5 linked regions of the Cricetulus griseus genome follow. The protein of the gene in region 1 interacts with the protein of each later gene in a biochemical or structural test. Links are inferred from orthologs where the notes say so. Each region holds a gene or a part of one and is shown on either strand. Other genes may lie near its edges.

Region 1 (3,984 bases):
CAGGTCCTGCCCATGTTTGCATAGTTTCCGGCTGCTCGGGATGGACAAGGCTGGTGGACTGACAAGAGCTTACCACCCTCTGATCTAAGTCCCAGGGTAATGCACACAGGGAAGGCATTCTAAGCAGAGCTCCTAGGAGGATCCTGGGAGGTGAGCTGGGGCTGTTGCCCTAGTGCCTGACAACGCTCGCCTGTCCTGCACTGTCCAGCAGTGTGCTCTGTGACCCTCCTCACCTCCAAACTCCCCCTCTCCAATCTGTGCTCCTAGAGTCAGGTGCTGCAGGTTGAGTAGCCAGCCAGCTGCAGGGACAGAGAGACAGGGTCAGAGCTGGACAGGAGTCCTTCCTTCCCACCAGCGAGATGTGGAAAGCCAGCATCCCCACAGCTGTGCACACCCCCCAGCAGTTGCCCCAAGGCTGTATGGGGTGGACACCTCACTCCTGGTACAAATTACAATCCTGCAAGCTGCAGGCTGTCCAAGGAGATCATCAGAACTCAATCCCACCAGGTTCCCCAGGCTTCAGTTGTGGCTCCAGGACCTCCCTCGATGGACAGGGACTGTGGCTGCTCTGTGCCCCTCCAAGCCTGCTCTTCCCATTACTGATCTCCCCAGGATACATGCAGATCAAGAGGCACACAGGTTCTGGAATATTCCTGAACATGTCTCTGGCAGGCTCTGGCATGCTGTGCAAACCCCGCTGTTGCTTCTGAAAGCCCTCCTCTTTCCCCCCAGAGCTCTCTAATTCCAGACTCTGAAGACTGAAGCAGGACAGATACCTTGCTCCATCATGGGCACAACTCTGGGACTCCAGATCCCACAGGAGACATATGACAATTTGACTTAGAAGAGTCAGGGGCTTAACCAAGACAAGGCTGGGGTGGGAGGCAGGAGGCCGGGGTGGTAGGTGAGGCCGAGTCTGGGCTGCTGTGTATGAGATGATCTCTCCTTAGTGGCTAGCATACCCTTTGCAAGCTCCTCCTCGGCTGACTTGGTGCCCTGTTTCCTCTTTGGCTTCACCAGCTTGGTGCAGATGGCACCCTTGTCCTTGGTGTAATGCTGTGGGGACCAGTAGTCATGAGCCTCTGGCTCTAGGGACCCCTGTCCTCCCTGTCCCTCCCCCTCCAATCGACTCAGTGGGGTAAGCAGAACCTCCCAGGTCCAGGCTAAGATGAGTGTGTTTCCATGGCAACAGTGGAAGGTGCAGAATGCAGAGTGAGGGGCTCCCTGGAGAAGTGGCTCCAGTTCTAGAGACAAGTGAGGCTCCTGGGGACCCATCCACCTTTCCACCCCTGCTGCCCCAGCCACAGGTCACCTCCACCATGTCCATCAGATTACAGAAACAGACAGCCTCATCAATGGTAAGGTGGCCATCACGATGCAGGACACGGTAGTGGATGACATCTCGGCCGAAACTGACACACAGGACATAGTCTCCGGGGTGACGAGCTGATTCCCGAACAAGAAACAGCCCGTCCTCAGGTGGCTGCAGCTGCTGTACCGCTTCCTGGCCTGAGATCTTTCCATGGAACCATCTGTGGCGAGCCGTGGAGAGACAATGCCACATGGGGCAAGGATGGCTGAGGCCCTGATGTCACCCACCCCACCAGGGTGCCACTCACGGCATGAGACTGAGCTTGGGGTCTGTGGAGAGGGCCTCCCGCTGTCGAAGAGCAGCAGCTGCCAGTAGCCCCTCCTGCCCACTGCTGTGGTGCTTGGCACGGTACCAACTTTTGTCCTGCACGATGGGGAGGGGATGGAGGAAGGGAAGGAGCAGGTGTCTCTCTGTCCTGGAATCCCTAAGTGCACCCCAACCACCCTTCAGCTCCCTCCTCACCTCACAAGCCTCCAAGATGGTCACCATGTCACCCTTTCGGAAGGCCAGCTCACCCGGCTTAGGGCGTGAGTTTTCACACTTGGTCATACATTGAGTCCCAGGGGCCCAGCGCCTCTAGGGATGAGATGGAGGCAGGGGTGTCAGGGACAGGAGGGAGAAGTGGACATTGGGAGGGACAGGGAGACTGGGAGAAACTTTGGGCTGGTGGGGAGAGGACAGGACAAGGAAGTAGTGAAGACACGGGCCTGGAGCCTGGCACTTAGGTGACTGAGACAGGAGGATTCCAGACCAGCTAAATAATGCTGGGTGTGGTAGCTCACACCTGTAATCCTAGAACTTGGGAGGCTGAGGCAGGTGGATTTCTGTGGGTTTGAGACCAGTCTGGGCTACATACTGAGCTCCAAGCTAGGCATCTCTATATAGTGAGACTCTGTCTCAAAAGCAAAATAAAAAAATAAATAAAAGCCTGGGGGTGTCTAATAGACAGAAAAGGGGACAGAGGGTGGAGGGAAACTGAGTTAGAGACCAGAATCACCGGCACATGTAGAGGCCTGGGTTGCCTCTGGCCGGGTCCATGGGGACTGGGTGGAAGCTTGCCTCGGGGTGCATGCCCCCACCCCACGAGGACAGTAGAGGAAGGTCTGGTGACTTGGGGCCCCACACTCACGGTTGGCATCCTAGCTGCGGCAGGCGAGGGGTGCCAGGCTCGGAGGAAGCGAGGGCTCACCTGTGGAGGAGTCAGTGTCATGCTTGGGGTTGTCCCCAGGTCCAGCTCCTTCCTCTGGGTCTGGCAGGGTGGAAGCAGCAGCCAGGAGGCCAAGAGCCCCCCCTCAATCATCCCTCAGGTGGCTTAGGTCCTGATTCCCTCTGCAGCCCTTGGTTTGGGAAGTTATGGTTACCCGAGGAAGATCCTTAGATTCCCAGCCATCAAAGGCCAGCCATGAGACCCCGGAGTCTCTCCCTCGCCCTCGCCCTGCCATTGCTCGGGAAGGGAAACTGAGGCCCGGAGGCAGTAGTGGAGGGATCCGATGGCTCTGGTGGCAGCCAGGGCTGTGGGAGGGGGGCGGAGGACGGTGCCAGGAGCCCGGCCTGAGGCTTCCTCTTTTCTGGGCCATGGGCAGGGGCGGTGACTCAAGGTCATTCCTGGGAATCTGACCCTGGGTGGAGCCTGGGGAGGACGGGCTCCTGTGAGGCTCCTCGGGTCACCAGGAGTCACCAAGGAAGCATCTGGAAGGACCCACGCCACCCCAGCGTGGGCAGTGCAAGGCAGTTACTGCCCGGGTCCTGCTGGCAGGGGTCAGAGCAGGAGGTTGGGGTGCGCTTCTGGCCTCGGGCTCAGTGGGGTTTGCAGGGCTGCTGCGCGCAGGCAGAGGCGCACGTGCATCTGGGCACAGGTGCCACCCGGACACCCGCATGTGCGCGATACAGGCGCCTGCTAGACGTGGGCACCAGTGCCTGTCCCTGCGGCGCACACGGGCCCTGCAGTGATCACCGGGGCGCGCGCACTCAGAGACGCGCACGCCGCACCCAGAAAAAAAAAAAAAAAAAAAAAAAAAAAACAGCCTTCTGACGCCTCCGGACCAGGACCATTTTGGGGGTCGTACCCTCTCCACCCGCGCGCACGCGCTCACCTGCTCAGGGCGCGACCCCGGGAGGGTTCCCGCCAACGGGTCTTACGCCCCAAGGCTCAACTCGGAGCAACTTGCTCCGCTTCCTCATTTTGGGGCGAGGATGGAGGGGACCCGGCTCAGAGCCCCCGCGGGTCCTAGCGCCGGCCGTACTGCGGGCCGAGTTGCGATCTCCTCCTCCTCCGTCTCCCGCGCACCAGGCGGGATGCTGGGTGCCGAGTGCTGTGTGCCCGGTGTTCTCTGGGGCCCCGCTGAGCCTCGGCCTTCCGTAGCCCACCCCAGAAAGGCTGGGAATGCGAAATGGCTCGCGCACGCGCAGGTGCGAGAGAAGGAAGGAGCTCCCTGTCTGGGGAGGCGATCAAGGCAAGCAGGGCACAGCGGCCTCCACGCTGCAGCCTCCACTCCGGCTTCACTGTGAGCCTGGCCACTCACAGACAGATACTTCCAGAAATGCCAGGCACGCACTACTGAGGGGCTCTCAAATGTTCTCACAGAACTCAGGAGGCAGAGGCAGGTTTATCT
Region 2 (3,514 bases), on another chromosome or scaffold:
TCACTTGCTCGCTTCAGTAATCCTGGCCTCCGAGAGCTTCCTCCTGAGCTAGGCCAGCTGGGAAACCTCTGGCAACTGGACATTGAAGACCTGAACATTGGCAATGTACCTGCAGAGATCAGGAAAGAAGGTAGGGCCTCCTCAGCCCTGTTCACATCACTGCCGTGAAAAGATAACTCAGGTTCCCTTGGTAGCTTTGAAGGATGGAGTCAGTGGGTGAATGAACTGTGGGGCCCAACTCCAACCTCAGAGTTTGGGGAGATGGCCCCAGCACAGTAGCTCTCAACAGCGATTAGCTATCAACAGCGATAAGCTACCAACATCAATTGGGAATGGCTAGGTAGTAAAATACGGCAACCAGGGCAGCAAGGATATTGTCCTTCAGTCCTGGCTGTCACACTTAATTTTGGGGGTAGTTATTGTCATCCCTTCCTGCTCTCAGATTCCTCATCTTCCCTTGGAACACCTAGAAATTGGGATGGAATTTGGCCTCTTAAGAAATGTGAGTGCATCCCCGTTATACATCACCTAGGGTGTTCACTTGCCCCCTCCTCTGATTTCTCACAGGCCCCAAAGCGACACTGTCCTTCCTGCGTGCTCAGCTACGCAAAGCAGAGAAGTGTAAGCTGATGAAGATGATCCTCGTAGGTCCCCCACGCCAGGGCAAGTCCACACTCCTGGAGATCTTACAGACGGGGAAGGCCCCCCAGGTAGCACACAGCGAGGCCACCATCAGAACCACCAAGTGGGAGCTCCAGAGGCCAGCAGGCTCCAAAGCCAAGGTGAAGGATGGTGGACATGCAGTGGGAGGGAGGGACCTCCCTGTGGTCTGTTCTCCATTCCCCTGGAGACCCTGGACATTCTGAGTGCAAGGCCCAAGACATTCTGTGCTGTTGCTCACCAGCTCTTGCCAAGAGTGACGAATCGGTTCTTTCCATGACCTTGTAGTCTTTCTGTCATAATGAAGTCAAGGCTCTGGGCCAATGGTTCTTGACCCTGCTTGTCTGCTGGATTCCCCTGTGGTTCTCTCTGAGTGCATGCTCAGACTTCAAAGCTGGCCTCGGTGACTTAGCTTCAAATAGGCTGGGGTGGGGCTCCCCTAGGGCTAAGAACAAAGCACCAGAGCAGACAGTGAGGTGTACCTCAGCATCTCTCAGCCCCCTTAAAAGGAGACTGAGAAGGTACCCCAGGAGTCAGTCCATCATCCTCCCTGATTCCTGCTTCCATTCAAGCCCTGAAAAAATTCCATTCAATATCCTGTTTAAGATGAATTCTTTACCAATTTGTTCATCATCTTCTTTTCTATTCAGGACCAAGCAGGTGGAAATAAACTTTTTTTAAAAAAGCCTTTTGAAGCAGAAAAGAACCAGTGGGACCTCAGCCTGGCACTTATGTTACACTTTTATGTTGCTGTGACCAAAATGCAAAATACCTATCAGAAATGACTTAGAGGGGAGCATATATATGTGGTTTATTCCACTGTTGCTTGGTCCCTTCTGTTGAGCAGAACATCATGATGGTTGATGTGTCTGATGAAGATAGCTGCTCACACTGTGGGGGACAAGAAGCAGGGAGTGACAGGAAGTGGCCAGGATAATACCCTCCCAAGGACTCGCCTCTAGTGACCTACTGCCCCCAAGTCTCACCTCCCACATCTCTAGAACCTCCTAAGATTTCACCAGCAGGAGACCAAGTGTTCAAGACATAAGCCACTAGCAGACATTTCCAGTTCAAACCATAACAGCACTCCATCCGTAGAACAGACATAAAGTGGTTTTCCCCGAGTGCCAGACAGTACCGTCCTCCTCTGCTGTATGTGTGTCTCTGCCTCACTGTGGTGATTCAGGGATCCCCGGTGGAGAAAGGGTGACAGGGTAGAAAGCAGAGAGGCTGTGTCCAGAATGGGCCTGGTTTTCTTCTCCAAGCCCAGCACAATGAGGGCTAAGTTTGACTGCAGAGTTTTTGTACATAAAACCACCTTCCAAATCAGGGAAATCCAGTTTGAGAAACGGAACCTTCTGATGGTGTAAGCAAACATACTAGGAGCTTCCCCCCCCCCCCGCAACAGGACCCTTGGGGCTAGGAGTACACATTGGTAGGACAGCCTGTGCTGGGCATTTGTAAGGCCACGAGTTCAATCTCCAGCACCCAAAATAAAAATAAGAGCAGGGTCCTGCCTGTTGAGTTCCGAACAGTGATGTAATGAATGCCAGGCCTACTCGGAACAGACAGGGAGTGACTCTAGCTGACTCACGTCTGACGGTTCTCTCAAGTAACCAGAATTTTCTACAGTACCCTTGGCTTTGCTGTTTTGTCAGTGACTCAGTCACTTTTGCTCCCAGCTTTTCTTCAGTGCATGGGTGCCCAGGCTGGCCTGAAACCGCCTTCACTCGAAAGCCACTGCTGCTCTTGTGGGCCCCTCCTGCCCTGTGCGGCTGACCTTTAGCTGGCTAAGAACAGCTGTCTGCTTTCATCTGTATACTAAACCAGGTCAGCATGCTGTATGTCTTAGAGGCCAAATGCTGCCTCATGGAAATGACTCCTGGCTATAGCTCACTGTAGTCTTGGTTTCCAGGCCAGCTCTGAGCTCATATAGTGATAGAGAAACCGTTTCCACGGCCTTACTGGCAGCCCAGTTCCTGTTGTTGGATTCTCAAGTCAGGGGGGATTTCCCAAGCCTCATTGGTGGGCCCTAACCTTTGACCTACATAAGTTCAAGGGTGCCTCCTCCATTTGGCCCTTGCACAGATAGGGTGGAGCCATGATGTCAAAGTGGGGGCCCTTCTGCCACCAGATGTCTTCCAACTGTGGAGAGCCTAAGATAAGCAATATGACAGGCCATGATCTTCTCAGATGCCCTACTCTGTTTGCAGCAAATAGAAGCTCCCAGAAGTCTACCTTTGGGCCACTGGGCTCTTTTCCCTCACCAGGATTGCTAACTTAGACACACTGGAGTCTGTAACTTTTCTACCACTGCATTGTCTTTTCCAGACACATTCCAGGTTGTAAACTTTCTTGTGGTTTCCTCACTCCCTCGGTCACTCAAATGTGCCCCCCCTTCTGTGCCTTCTTGCTCAAGTAGGTTGAGTCCGTGGAGTTCAACGTCTGGGACATTGGGGGTCCTGCCAGCATGGCCACCGTCAATCAGTGCTTCTTCACAGACAAGGCCCTGTATGTAGTGGTCTGGAACCTGGCACTGGGGGAGGAAGCTGTGGCCAACCTCCAGTTCTGGCTGCTCAACATCGAGGTGAGGAGCCACCATCTTTGCCTTCTAGTACTCAGGACCCAGCACCACAGGGTTCTGTGTTCTGAAGCATTATGTGGATCAAGAACAAAGGGACAGTGCACAGGAGAAAGAAGGGCTTTCCCAGGGGGGTCCCAAATCGTGGCCTTGCATGATTTTCATACTGAGAACTCAGAGGCCTCCTGGTCCTTAGGGCCCAGTGCTCTTGTCATTTTCTTACTTACCTGAAACCTAATAGCCCATGCATGCAAGGCACTCCCTCCCAGGGTA
Region 3 (3,514 bases), on another chromosome or scaffold:
ATTGCAGGAAATCAACAAGCCTGAAAACAAAACAAAACAAAAAACTCAAAAAGTTAGGTTCGGAGATGGGAGCACATGCCATGTGTGTGATGACCACTCTGGCTGCAAGGATCTCCAGGAAACAGTCTCTGAACACCTCTTTTCCATTGCCTTCTAAACACCTACACATACCAATCAATTGCTCATCTTGTCTGCTATCTCTTCTATGCCCACTAGAATTCAGATACACCCAGGCAGAGATGTGGGTACAGCCGAGCATGGTGTACACTAGACAAGCATCTGGCACACAGTTGGCTTCCATGTAAACATTTTGCTGAGCGCAAGATATCTACTCAGGCCATGTCATGGAAGGCACAGCATTCAGAGGTTTTATGTACCCCCCAAACAAAACATTCTGGTGAAACCCACACCAAAACAACAAGCCAACATCCTAACGTGTTGTCATAAAATGTCTTCCATGTAAAATAAGATTTCCACCGCCATTCTGACTATCCATGAGGCCAAACTAAGCTTTTGAAACTGGAGTATAACACGGTGTTTGATGTGTAAAAATGGCACATTGACCCTGTTTTCATCTTCAGGTAATTCAAGAGGACAATTTAAGGCTTAAGTGTGGACGTCGAGGGAAAGCCACACAATGGCAGATGTTCCTTTTTCAGGGGCTGGGCACCTAATCAAGGAGAAACACTTTTTCAAACCCATTGCTCACAAACGCCATATGTATGTTGTAATTGTGCGATCATTACTTTTGGTTACTTGGCAATTAACTTCTGAGGTAATTTTTTTCATGATAACTGCAGCCACATTTCCCACACACATTGCCTCCTGTGTATAGAATGGAAATCTAATTACTCTGCCCTGGGAAATTGCTTTATCTACCTGCAGGCTAGAAATTGCACGATAAACCCAAAAAGATAACTACCAAAATAGAGAAGGCATTCAGTAATCATTTTTCAGCAAACAAAATTAATGTCGACCAAGAAAAATATAGCCATTATCCCTTCTTAAAAAGCCACAAAGATATAGGAGAAAAAGAAATTATCAAAATGCAGCTTTTTATTCTAAAAAAAATATAAATAAATAGTAAGTCTGAAAACACATTTGAAATGCAATTGAATTATAGCCCTTCCCTTCTGAATTTTAAGCAGTGCCAAAAATAATCCTCTCACCTTTGCTCTGTTCCCGTACAAAAATACCAATCTATTGTGGGCTCTGGGAATCCCGCTGCCACACACTGGAGCATACCATTCGCGAGCCTGTCAGACGTCAGGATTTCTGGCTTTGCTGCAGGAAGAGAAATAGCTATGTCAGTCTGCTAAACAACCCTGATGATTGTCTCATTCTTTCTTATACCATCCCTAGATCCTTCCAGAGGCCACTGAGGAACCTGACTTGCTGCTCACCCAAACTAGTGATGGAAGACATCTGAAGGTGGTTGGAGGGCTCAGGAGGTACACTGTCCAGCCCTGCATGGACCCCTATCTACCTGAAGGCATAGGGATCCTGAAGAACTCTACATACCACAGGCTGCCAAGACCAACCTGGCTGGTTTCTGCTTCAGGTCAAAAATCAGCATTCTCAACTAGATTCCTTGACAATAGGAGTTCAAGTCACTCTACCTGCCCAGACACGTCATGTTAAATTATGGACACTGGAATGGCTGAAATCAGGAATTGTTGCAAAAAAATAGAAGCTACATTCTCCTTTTAGGAAGTGCAAGAGATGGTGCTGATAAGAGGTGGATTGCTATACTTACAGGAAAGCTAAAACTGGATAGTGAATGGCAGTACGAGCATCTAAACCTTTATTTCACACAACACTTGGACAGAAAACAGGAAGAAACCTGCCACGACGTTTTGTTCATACATATTATCTATAGCCTGAGAGTAATCAGCAAAAACATAAATTATACCAGCAGGAAGACTAATTTGACAGTCCTGTGTAACTACAATAATCAATTGATATTCAACAATTTCAAATTCTTGAAATTATTTCTCAAGTGAAAGGAAGATGAACTTGTACGGCACAGTTCTGATAGCATCATACTTGAAGGCTTCCAGCCCTTTGAGGGTGAACCAGTTAACAGTCAGCATCATGCAGGTAGAGATGGCCACCTGAACCACTGGAGACTTCAGAAGCAGCAAGGCAGGGATGTAATGGACAGTGCAAACTGATTACGCTTCCAAATCCCCCTCTTGACTCTACTTCTTCATTTATAGAAAGGGAACAATGGTGACCATCTTGCAGGGTGTTGAGTAAATGTGACGGAGCATGCAAAGAACTAAGAATGAAGGCTGTTGAGATGTCCCAGCAGGTAAAGAAGATTGCCACCAATCCTGACTATCTAAGTTTGGTTCCTGGGATCCACAGTTGTGGTACTCACAGTCTTACCTTCACAAGCATGCTGTGGCACATGGCACACACTGCAGCCCCCCAAAGACACACATATATGCAAATGTCATAAATATCTCTTAAAGAACCAAGAATGACATACAGGCATGTAATAATGCATTAATAATAATAATAATAATAATAATTATTATTATTATTATTATTGTTATTATTATTACTGATTTGGTTGTTTTCTATTGGACTACTATGCTCCCCAAATAAGCAAGCTGGCTATGATTAAGTGGACAATATTTACCACCCTTCATTCTCCCTTTAATGTTCTGAAAATTTCTGCTTTAAGACAGTGTGACAGTGTGACAGTGTGTGTGTGTGTACGCACGCGAGCATGTGTTTTAACCGGAAGTAGTGGAATTTCAACATCAATTACATGCAAACTAATAAGAGCAATAGATGAGAGACGCAAAGACTGGCAGGTCAGAAGCTGAAGGACTTCATTTTCCCAAAGGCAGTAGCAATGTTGAATGACATCTCTGAGAGTCATTGCTCAGCACGCCACCTCCTTGGAAGCAAGATGGGTTGGCAGGGATCAGTGTCCACATGCATGACACACCCACCTGTCACTCAACCTGTTCCTGCTGATGGCAGGACATTTGGCAAATACCACAAAAAGAGCCACTACCCTCCCAAAGCCATCCTCAAGGTAGAAGCACCCTTGAGAATTTGGATCTAATGCCAGATTTCACAAATAGAGCAAGAAGACGAGCCATCGTCTTGCAAAAGCATCCATCTGGCAAGTTTCATTTAATTATCACAGGCAACCGTAGGATCAGGTCAAAAAGTAGGACATAAAACAACAGTGAACTCTTAGGAGAATGCTATTTTGCTGGAAACTGCAGTAGCCATACGGTGAGTCTCTCTGGACTCAGCTCAAGAAGTCACTACCACTTGTAAGGAACCCCACACTTCTCCCAAGCCAAGTTGGTTGGTCTCTATCCCTGATCCTGGGGCCCTAAGGAGCACCGGACTTTGTTTTTCAAGCTCATGCTTCACCTCCTCCATCAGACTCTCAATGGCAAGAGCTGCATGTTAGACTAGGGTGTAGGTCTGGTGGCAGTAGACACCCAATAAGAGCTGGTGAATGAATTTGAGACCACCCAAGGGA
Region 4 (3,514 bases), on another chromosome or scaffold:
CCTGTATTTTCTTCACCTTTCTCTTTGATAATGCATTGGATCACTACCAGACTGAGGTAGGGAAGAAAAACAAAACCCTTCTGAAGAACACAGATATGTGTTTATAAATAAAAGGAGTCAAGACAAAAAGAAGGTAAAGGAGGCATGGCAGGGAGAGCTCTCTCATCAAGTCAAAGCTGCTCCTTGAAGATGGGTTGCAAGCCTCAAAGACGACAGTATCCCAGCAAGGCAGGCTCTCCCACCCCACCATCTGAAAAAAACATCAAAGCAAGCCAGTGCATTCTCAAACCAGCATGCCAGAATGGGGTAAACATTAGCAATACGCATTCTTATTTAATAATACTGACGTTTGGGGAATCGTGTTTTGCTTCTTTGCATAGAGTTGTTGTAAAGATGCATTTATAAGAAGGAATCCGGTCTCACTGATTGACAGTAATAATTTGGAGCCTTCTCAACGTAGTATTAATCTAGATGGCTGACTCAGTCACCTCCCCATAGCAGCATCCGTTGGGACTACTGATCCAACTACCTCACTTACAGGCTTGCTTCAGCTACATTCAGGCTTTTACAAAACAAACTCATCTCCCAAGATGGGTCTTTAAATCCTTGGCATATGCTTTTAGCAACAGCAGAAGAAGGAAAATCTAACAAAATATCCCAAGGAACAAGGACATTCTTTAGGTGCAGTTACAACCAGAGAAGTATACTAACTGGATAAACAGATTAATTCAATGAGCAGTTTGTATATCTGTGTTTTAAAGAGCCAGACTCCCGCTAATCTTTTTAGTCCCACGGGAGAATTGAAAAAGAAAAGCAACACAGAATGCTTCTAATACTTGACACCATTCTTATGCAAATAGTATCCAAACTAGGAAGACTTTCTAGTAACTATTAAATGTGTGTTGAACAGTTTCTCTCCCTGGGTACCACAGAGACAAACTCATCCATAGATGGCCCATGTGTCTTCTGAGAGGAGTAGAACTTGTGGAAGTGCAACAGAGCTGAGCAGGCGGGCCACTGTGGCTTATTTAGCATTCCAAATTGGAGCAGTTTTGAGAATGCAATGTGGCCCTGTAAGAAATTGCTCTGGGATACCCAGGCCAGATGGCACCCTGCCTACACTCTAGGATCTCCACAGAGCCAAAACAGAAAGACTTGGCATTGTGTTTGCCACACTGAAGTACCCAGCACATTTTCCAGAAATTTCAACTATATTCCTTTCTTTCCCGTGAGTAGTGGAAAAGTGTATTCTTCCCGATGACCCATTTATTGATGTTTTCTAAACAAGTGGTTTACCAAAGAGAGCGAAAGGAATTTAAACACAAGTCTTAAGATGGAACCTAGCTTTACAAATTAGGTAATTAAAGATTTCGGAAAACCGACTAGTGGTCTTGACAACTCACAATATTAAGAGAAAAAAGCCTAAACAAACAAACATACAAACACAAATGAAAACACCAGAAAAAGAATTATGAAGGAGTCAAACAGATGATCAAGATGCAAGTAAAATAGGGACTCCCAAAGGAAGGTGCTAGAAGAACAGATTCCACAGAGGACCAGAGACCCAGGCCCCACTGTCCTATTTAGCCTCTGGATGGAACCCATGGAGAGGAAGCAGGGAGAGCAAGTATCTGGATGATACTCAGTATCCTGGCAAGATTCTCCTACTTCTTCTTGAGATCTGCTAGTTAATTTTATCCCCACTTCCATGAATTATAAATGAAGTATAGTATAAATAAATAATTTTAAAGTGAAAGTATTTTCATAGTTCTCAGCTTTGAAAAAAAAAACCTACAATTACCAGATAATTGCTCTCTCCTCAAGGTTTCTGACATTTCTAAGCAGCAGTATAATGAGAGGAAGAACAAGGGGTAGTTATCTAGCAGCCTGCAGGGGATGCACACCCTCCCACCTTGAAATTAAGACTCTCATTGATGATGGTTTTCCGAAGCTTTGCCAGTGCATCAGACTCCTCGGTGGCATTGACAAAGTGGTAGTCCCGGATGGTGGGGAATCCTCGCTTATTTAGGAGTTCCTTGGTGATTTTGCTTATGCAGGCTTTGCGCTGCTTCTCGTCGGAAACATCCAAATGCGTGCCCACCAGAATCACCGGGGAAGAAGAGGCTCGAGCCTAGGGGAACAGGGACAAGACACTTCCTGTTTATGTAAAAAATCCTTTCTGGTTCCATTTCTGCTGGAATCTGCTATGTATGAAACTCAGTGCCGCAGCTATGACAGACTCAGGGACTTCAGAAGCAGACAGTAGCAACTGTCTTTCTATGCTGCTAGTGTGAGCATACTTCTCTAAAGGACATGTCTTGAAATTCAATCCAGTGACACAGGAGTGTCTTGAGATGGGAGTTTTATGAGATGCTTATAGTCACAAGGACTGAGCCCCGTCATCACCCCAAAGGACACCAGTAAAGGATAAGTTATCTCCCCTTTCCCTTTGCTGTTGGGCATGTGTGCTCATGTCCTCCTGCATTTCATCATGAAATGACACATCAGGAATGGCCTTGAAGATGCCAACCTCAAGGTCTTGGATTTCCCTCCCCCCAGAACTGTGAGAGAGAAATCTCTGTAGTTTGTGACCCTCTTAGGCGTGGATATGCTGTTACAGCAGCAAACGGCAACAGAGACATTTCCTGAAACTTAAAATAATGATAATCATAAAACAATTTTAAAGTCATTGTTATGTCTTTTTAGTCCAATTCTTATCACTTTGGAGGTTCCTACATAATAACTGTGTTAGTGTGGTTTTTCTTTTATTTTAACATTTGCCTAAAGCAGGTTGTTTGCAAGCTGTGTTTCTAAATAAAGGAATTGTTCAGTAAATTCCAAACTACATCAGAACAGCATAAAACATGCCCACCTCTGTTCATTAGCTGTTAATTTTATGCTCTGAATTCACTTTAAAGTCATTCAGTTCGGAGAATGAGAGACCAAAGTCTCAGAAGCAAGCCTTACTGCCACTGTTCTATTTGCTCAAGTTGCTATAATATCACCAAGAAAAGGATGCTTAAGAAAGATCCGAATTACCATGATACAAAGATACACTCATGAACTACCAGATTCTGTGAGCAGATGTCCTGGTGTAAACTTCTTGAGGACCTCACTCCCGGAAGAGCTCCTTGAGGCATCAGAGAGCAAGTACAGGGACTCTTGCTACAACCGCAATTATTCAAAAGGTCATTTTAAAGAAATGGCCATCAGCAGGGACACAGGAGATGGTAGAGAAATAGCAAAACAGAGACACCAAAGACAGGAGCCAAACAGTCTGGTGCCATTCTCAGAGCAGGATCTGAAGGCTTCATACTAAAAGGTCACTAAACATGTACTACCCATTACAGAGTGTGTTTGGTACACTTCATCTTAAATTGGGAAAGTTGGTATGTCGCTTAACAAAACAGAAACAGTATGATCAAAATCAGTTGTGTATCTGTGCTTTCAGATCTTACAGTGTAAAAGGCTGGTGATATGCAACAACGCAAGACGCCTCACTTCTGTATCAGTA
Region 5 (4,288 bases), on another chromosome or scaffold:
TCCTGTGTATTCCATGTAAATCAAACATGGTAGTCCCTATCTGATCCTGCCTGCAGTGGTTCCCATCCACAGAATTAATTTTCTTTGTCTTCTGGACTACTCTCCAGAAGTATGGCTTCTACACACTGTCGTCCTTAGCTAAATGAGCTGACACCCATGTGCGTGTGTGCACATACCTCCTTACCAGACTTTCGGCTTGCACATACCTGCACCTTCTAGTAGACTATAGGTGGGTTCTTGTTATAATCCCCTAGGCCCAAAGAAATACAACTAATATTTCTGCTAGGGCTGCCCTGTGGTCCCTCAAGGACCTGCTGCCAAACACTTCTCAAACACAGTTCTTGCCCTTGGTACATGGTGAGCTCTTCTTAAAACGCAGTGCAAATATCAACTCATGTAACCCTCCCAATGGCAGTTCTGGGTCGCTGCTCATGTTGGCCTGGCTGCTTAAAAGGAAGCCAGGGCACAGAAACAAGGTCTTTCTCCTAGTCTGCAGCTTCTAAGATCTAAGCGTTGGATGCTGGTCCCTATGTCTAACAGCTGCACGCTGCTTGCCTCTCTGGAAGAAAAAAAAAAACAAAAAAACAAAAACAAAACAAAAAACCAGAACCAGGCTTTTGGCCAGAGGTGCAGAGGACAGAGGGGTGACATTGCATAAGGGACTTTCTACCTGAGGCCTGGCCTTAGGCAATCACCCTCCTGGTCTCTGAGCCTCAACATCCTCTTTATTAAGAGACCGAGACAGCAGGGCCTGCTTTGCTTCATTACTTCATTATGTCCCTCAACTGCCATCATGGGAAGCAAAATTGGCTATCTCTGAACTTACTTCAACTCAAACTCTCCAATTAGTGGAGGGTCTTGATTCCTCTTCTCTGCTTTGGTGCGCAGGCAGCCTTCTGCAGATGACCAAGCACTTGATCTGAGTGCTTCTAGCGTTCCCTCAGGAAACCCCGGAGCTAGGGTGCATTTTGAATCCAGAGGCTCTGTCCTTTGGGGTTAGCTCTCCTTTCTCTGTCTGGCTCATTAGGGTCATCATTTTGCAGCAGGCCTCTCTCAGCACAGTTCTGTCTGTGCCCTCTCTAACCTCAATCTACTCTCCCTGCTGAGAAGGCCTCTGGTCAGTCTCCTCCCCAAGGCCCAACCCTACCCTTCCCCTTTCCCTGCCACAGCTTTCGTGCTACTCTTCTCCCCCAGTGCGTCTTTACCAAGAGGCACTGAAGTCCTTCCTACACACACGCTATTTTTGTACCATCACTCTCTCCTTCCTCTCCCCCCTTCCCCCTGCATTCACTTCCTGCTTTTGCTTTACCTCGGGCCAGCTTGGAAAGATTTGGGCCCCTAAGACCCACACCCACCCGGAGGCAGACCTTCTGCTTTGGGATACATGAACAGGGCCTCTTGGGGAGGGGCAGAAAGCAAGCCTCCCCGCCTCCTCCATTCTCTATCCTGGGCCAGCGCGCCGCGGGCAGCCTCTTGCCCACTGGAGGCGAGGACTGGCCAGGGTGAGAGGCCGAGGCCAGTAGCGATCGGCTGCCACTTCTCCAGTCCACCTTAAGAGGACGGAGTAGCCAGCCCGCGGTGCCGACCTCAGACAAACAAGTTTGCGCAAAGTGCTGCGCGGCCAGCCTCTGGGCAGCGGGAGCGGTGCTTCCACCGCCTGGCAGCCCTGCGCGCGGCGGCGCAGGTCCGAGCGGCTGGCGGGGACCCGCACGGGCAGAGCGGGCTCGCGCAGAGGCGAGGCGGGCGGCGCAGCTCGCGGGGCGCACTGGGGCGCGGGCGGGAAGGTGCGGGCGCGGGGCGGGGGCGCTCGGCCGGGCCGCCCTCGCGCTGGCCTCGCGGCGGCTCGGCGCAGCCCGCACTCGCTCTGCGAGCTGTCCCTGCTCGCGCTCGCTCTCAGTGCTCGGTCCCCGCTCCCTCTCCCTCCTCCTCCTCTCCCCCTCTCTCCCTCTCCCTCGCTATCCGCTCCCCCGCCCCCGTGCCTCTGGCTCTGCGCCTGGCTCCCTCGGGTCCGCTCCCCTTTCCCGCCGGCCTGGCCCGGCGTCACGCTCCCGGAGTCTCCCCGCTCGGCGTCTCGTTGTAGGAGGGGGTCAGATCACCCCGCCGGGCGGTGGCGCTGGGGGGCAGCAGAGGGGGAGGGGCCTTAGTCGTTCGCCCGCGCCGCCCGCCGCCCGCCCGCCCGCCTGCCGAGCGCGCTCACCGCCGCTCTCCCTCCTTGCTCTGCAGCCGCGGCCCATGGAGCCCGCCGGCCCGGCCGCTGGCCGCCTAGGGCCGCTGCTGCTCTGCCTGCTGTTCTCCGCGTCCTGTTCCTTGTCAGGTAAGCACCCTCAGCTCCCACTGCCACCCTCCCCAAGCTGCGGGCTCAGGCCCCGCACACTGCCGCTCAGCTCGTGTCGACAGATGCCTGTAACCAGGGTTCCAGATGCAGAATTGAGGCCCAGAGAGGGTCAGCCACTTGCCCAAGGTCACATAGCCCAGGCTAGAAGCCAGGCTAGAACTCTTCTTATGCGGATCTGCCCTGTGGACTGTGACTGTGTAGCCCTGCGCTAAGCGGCAAGGTATAGGAATGAGTTGGTTTACCGTACCCCTTGCCCAACCCGAATGAGGAGGCAGGCTGGCAATTTGCTTTCGGCAGTAGGGCGCCTGGCTTCCCCAATAGCTCCCTTGCTAGACTTGATTGGAGAGAGGGTGGGGGGCAGAGGTCCTCCCGCGCTGCTGCTGGGCTGTTGGGATGAGGGAAGAGTGAGCTCTCCCCCTAGTACCAGAGCAAGCACTGTTAGTGTGTGGAGGTGTGGGAGAGAGGAAGAGAGGCCTGGGTAATCAACAGCCCCTTGGGAGACACGGTGGATGTACCTGTGGTGGCACAGCCTCTCCCTGGATGATCTTCTCCCGCTACCCTCCTCTCCTGCCTTCCTGAGGCAGCTTCCCAGAAGCTCCTGCAGTTCCCGCATGTACCTGTGGCTCTGAGCTTGTCTTCTTTGTTGGTCTACATCAAACACCTGGCTGTCTCCCGCAGGAGGGCTCTGAAGGCCGGTTGGCCAAGGAGTGAGGTCACCATTCAGGAGTCCTGCGTCTTAAAGGGGGTTTGCAAAAATCCTGGGTCTCTCCTGGAAGGATAGGAAGGTTGGAGACACAGCTGGGGAGGGAGAGAAGGGGGCCTTATTTAGTGTCTTTTTGGATCGGTGTTAACCGGCATAGAGATCTCTGTGCCACCTTGCCTTTGCAGGGAGGTAAAGATATTCTCAGCGCGCCCTCCTCACCAACATTTGCCTAGAGCCTGGCATCTGATAGCAGTGTAGAAGGGGGGGCGGGGGAGCCAGCCCCGGGGAAGAGAGAAGAGGCAAGCTGGAAGAGGTGGGGCAGCCAGGAGCTCTCTTTACTGCCCTGTAGTTTCCCCAGACCCCCCAGGAACCCACCAAGTGCCTCTCCCCATTCATAGTTTTCAGTCACCATTGGGCCCTTTCAGGACCAGCTGATGAATTTCACCTCTCTCCTATGAGTGGCTCTGGCGTCTGATCTGCTTCCTCCTGCCTTGCCAAAGTTCCAGCCGTGCCCTGCCATCCTCCGGGGCTTGGGAACCCACAGGCACCTCTCCGAAGTACAGAAAGCTGGGCCGGGATTAATATCTACATGGCTTGTTCTAGACCTCTTTCTGACCAGGCCCCTATGGCTCAGTCCCTGGCAAATAGGTAGTGATTAACAAGTGTTCAACCCAGCAGCCTGTCTTTCCTGGGCGCTGGCTGGGAGAATGACAGCACCTTTCTTAAGAGCCTATCTATCCTCCCCTTCCCCACACTCACCTATAAAAATAGTCTATAAAATAGCCAAGATGGACCTTCTGTCCCAATCCATTCAGCGTCAATAACCTGAAAGGGTGGGAACAGAGGAGGGACATAGGTTAACTTCATAGTGTAAGTCTTCCGAGGTGAGAATGAGATTCTCAGTGAGGAAGGGACGGTGTATAGCCATTGAGCTGCAGCCTCCCGGCAACCTGCACACTTAGTCCAGGGGTCTCAGCATCGCATTCCCGTCTTTTCTAAGGGAGGGGACTTCAGCCCCCGCTGGACTCAGCCTCTCTTATTCGAGGCGTGGGATTTACATCGAAGAAGAAGAGGTAAGATAGGATAGGCAGGTGGAGGGCGGTTGTCCAGTTTTCGAGGAAAATGGATTTGTTTGAGCAAGAAACCCAAATGTCAGCTCAGAAAAGACAGCTTTGGGTGGAATGACTGCTGTCTCTGGCAGAACTGTCATCCTGGGAGGTGTCATGTGATTGCCGGGCTTCACAAGATCA

What was found.
Region 2: the proteins of Matk (region 1) and Lrrk1 form a complex in vitro, tested with the Homo sapiens proteins (2 studies listed by BioGRID and IntAct, with this or other methods). The link is inferred for Cricetulus griseus from reciprocal best matches to the Homo sapiens genes MATK and LRRK1.
Region 3: the proteins of Matk (region 1) and Kit form a complex in vitro, tested with the Homo sapiens proteins (2 studies listed by BioGRID). The link is inferred for Cricetulus griseus from reciprocal best matches to the Homo sapiens genes MATK and KIT.
Region 4: the proteins of Matk (region 1) and Lrrk2 interact on a protein array, tested with the Homo sapiens proteins (2 studies listed by BioGRID and IntAct, with this or other methods). The link is inferred for Cricetulus griseus from reciprocal best matches to the Homo sapiens genes MATK and LRRK2.
Region 5: the proteins of Matk (region 1) and Sirpa form a complex in vitro, tested with the Homo sapiens proteins (3 studies listed by BioGRID, with this or other methods). The link is inferred for Cricetulus griseus from reciprocal best matches to the Homo sapiens genes MATK and SIRPA.

Annotation. Positions count from the first base shown.
Region 1 is NC_048598.1:102,035,485-102,039,468, reverse strand, and holds the start of Matk (megakaryocyte-associated tyrosine-protein kinase), read right to left. Parts: upstream 2,815-3,984; coding exon 2,734-2,814; intron 2,562-2,733; coding exon 2,502-2,561; intron 1,949-2,501; coding exon 1,835-1,948; intron 1,736-1,834; coding exon 1,620-1,735; intron 1,533-1,619; coding exon 1,313-1,532; intron 1,057-1,312; coding exon 963-1,056; intron 300-962; coding exon 234-299; intron 1-233.
Region 2 is NC_048596.1:130,973,392-130,976,905, forward strand, and holds part of Lrrk1 (leucine-rich repeat serine/threonine-protein kinase 1), read left to right. Parts: intron 1-17; coding exon 18-130; intron 131-567; coding exon 568-782; intron 783-3,082; coding exon 3,083-3,247; intron 3,248-3,514.
Region 3 is NW_023276807.1:142,123,081-142,126,594, reverse strand, and holds part of Kit (mast/stem cell growth factor receptor Kit), read right to left. Parts: intron 1,285-3,514; coding exon 1,170-1,284; intron 1-1,169. UniProt on the Homo sapiens protein: Tyrosine-protein kinase that acts as a cell-surface receptor for the cytokine KITLG/SCF and plays an essential role in the regulation of cell survival and proliferation, hematopoiesis, stem cell maintenance, gametogenesis, mast cell development, migration and function, and in melanogenesis.
Region 4 is NC_048595.1:388,273,348-388,276,861, reverse strand, and holds part of Lrrk2 (leucine-rich repeat serine/threonine-protein kinase 2), read right to left. Parts: intron 2,132-3,514; coding exon 1,913-2,131; intron 1-1,912. UniProt on the Homo sapiens protein: Serine/threonine-protein kinase which phosphorylates a broad range of proteins involved in multiple processes such as neuronal plasticity, innate immunity, autophagy, and vesicle trafficking.
Region 5 is NC_048599.1:49,004,973-49,009,260, reverse strand, and holds the start of Sirpa (tyrosine-protein phosphatase non-receptor type substrate 1), read left to right. Parts: upstream 1-1,483; 5' UTR 1,484-1,502; intron 1,503-1,556; exon of another isoform or gene 1,557-1,684; intron 1,685-1,704; exon of another isoform or gene 1,705-2,223; 5' UTR 2,224-2,232; coding exon 2,233-2,314; intron 2,315-4,288. UniProt on the Homo sapiens protein: Immunoglobulin-like cell surface receptor for CD47. Acts as docking protein and induces translocation of PTPN6, PTPN11 and other binding partners from the cytosol to the plasma membrane.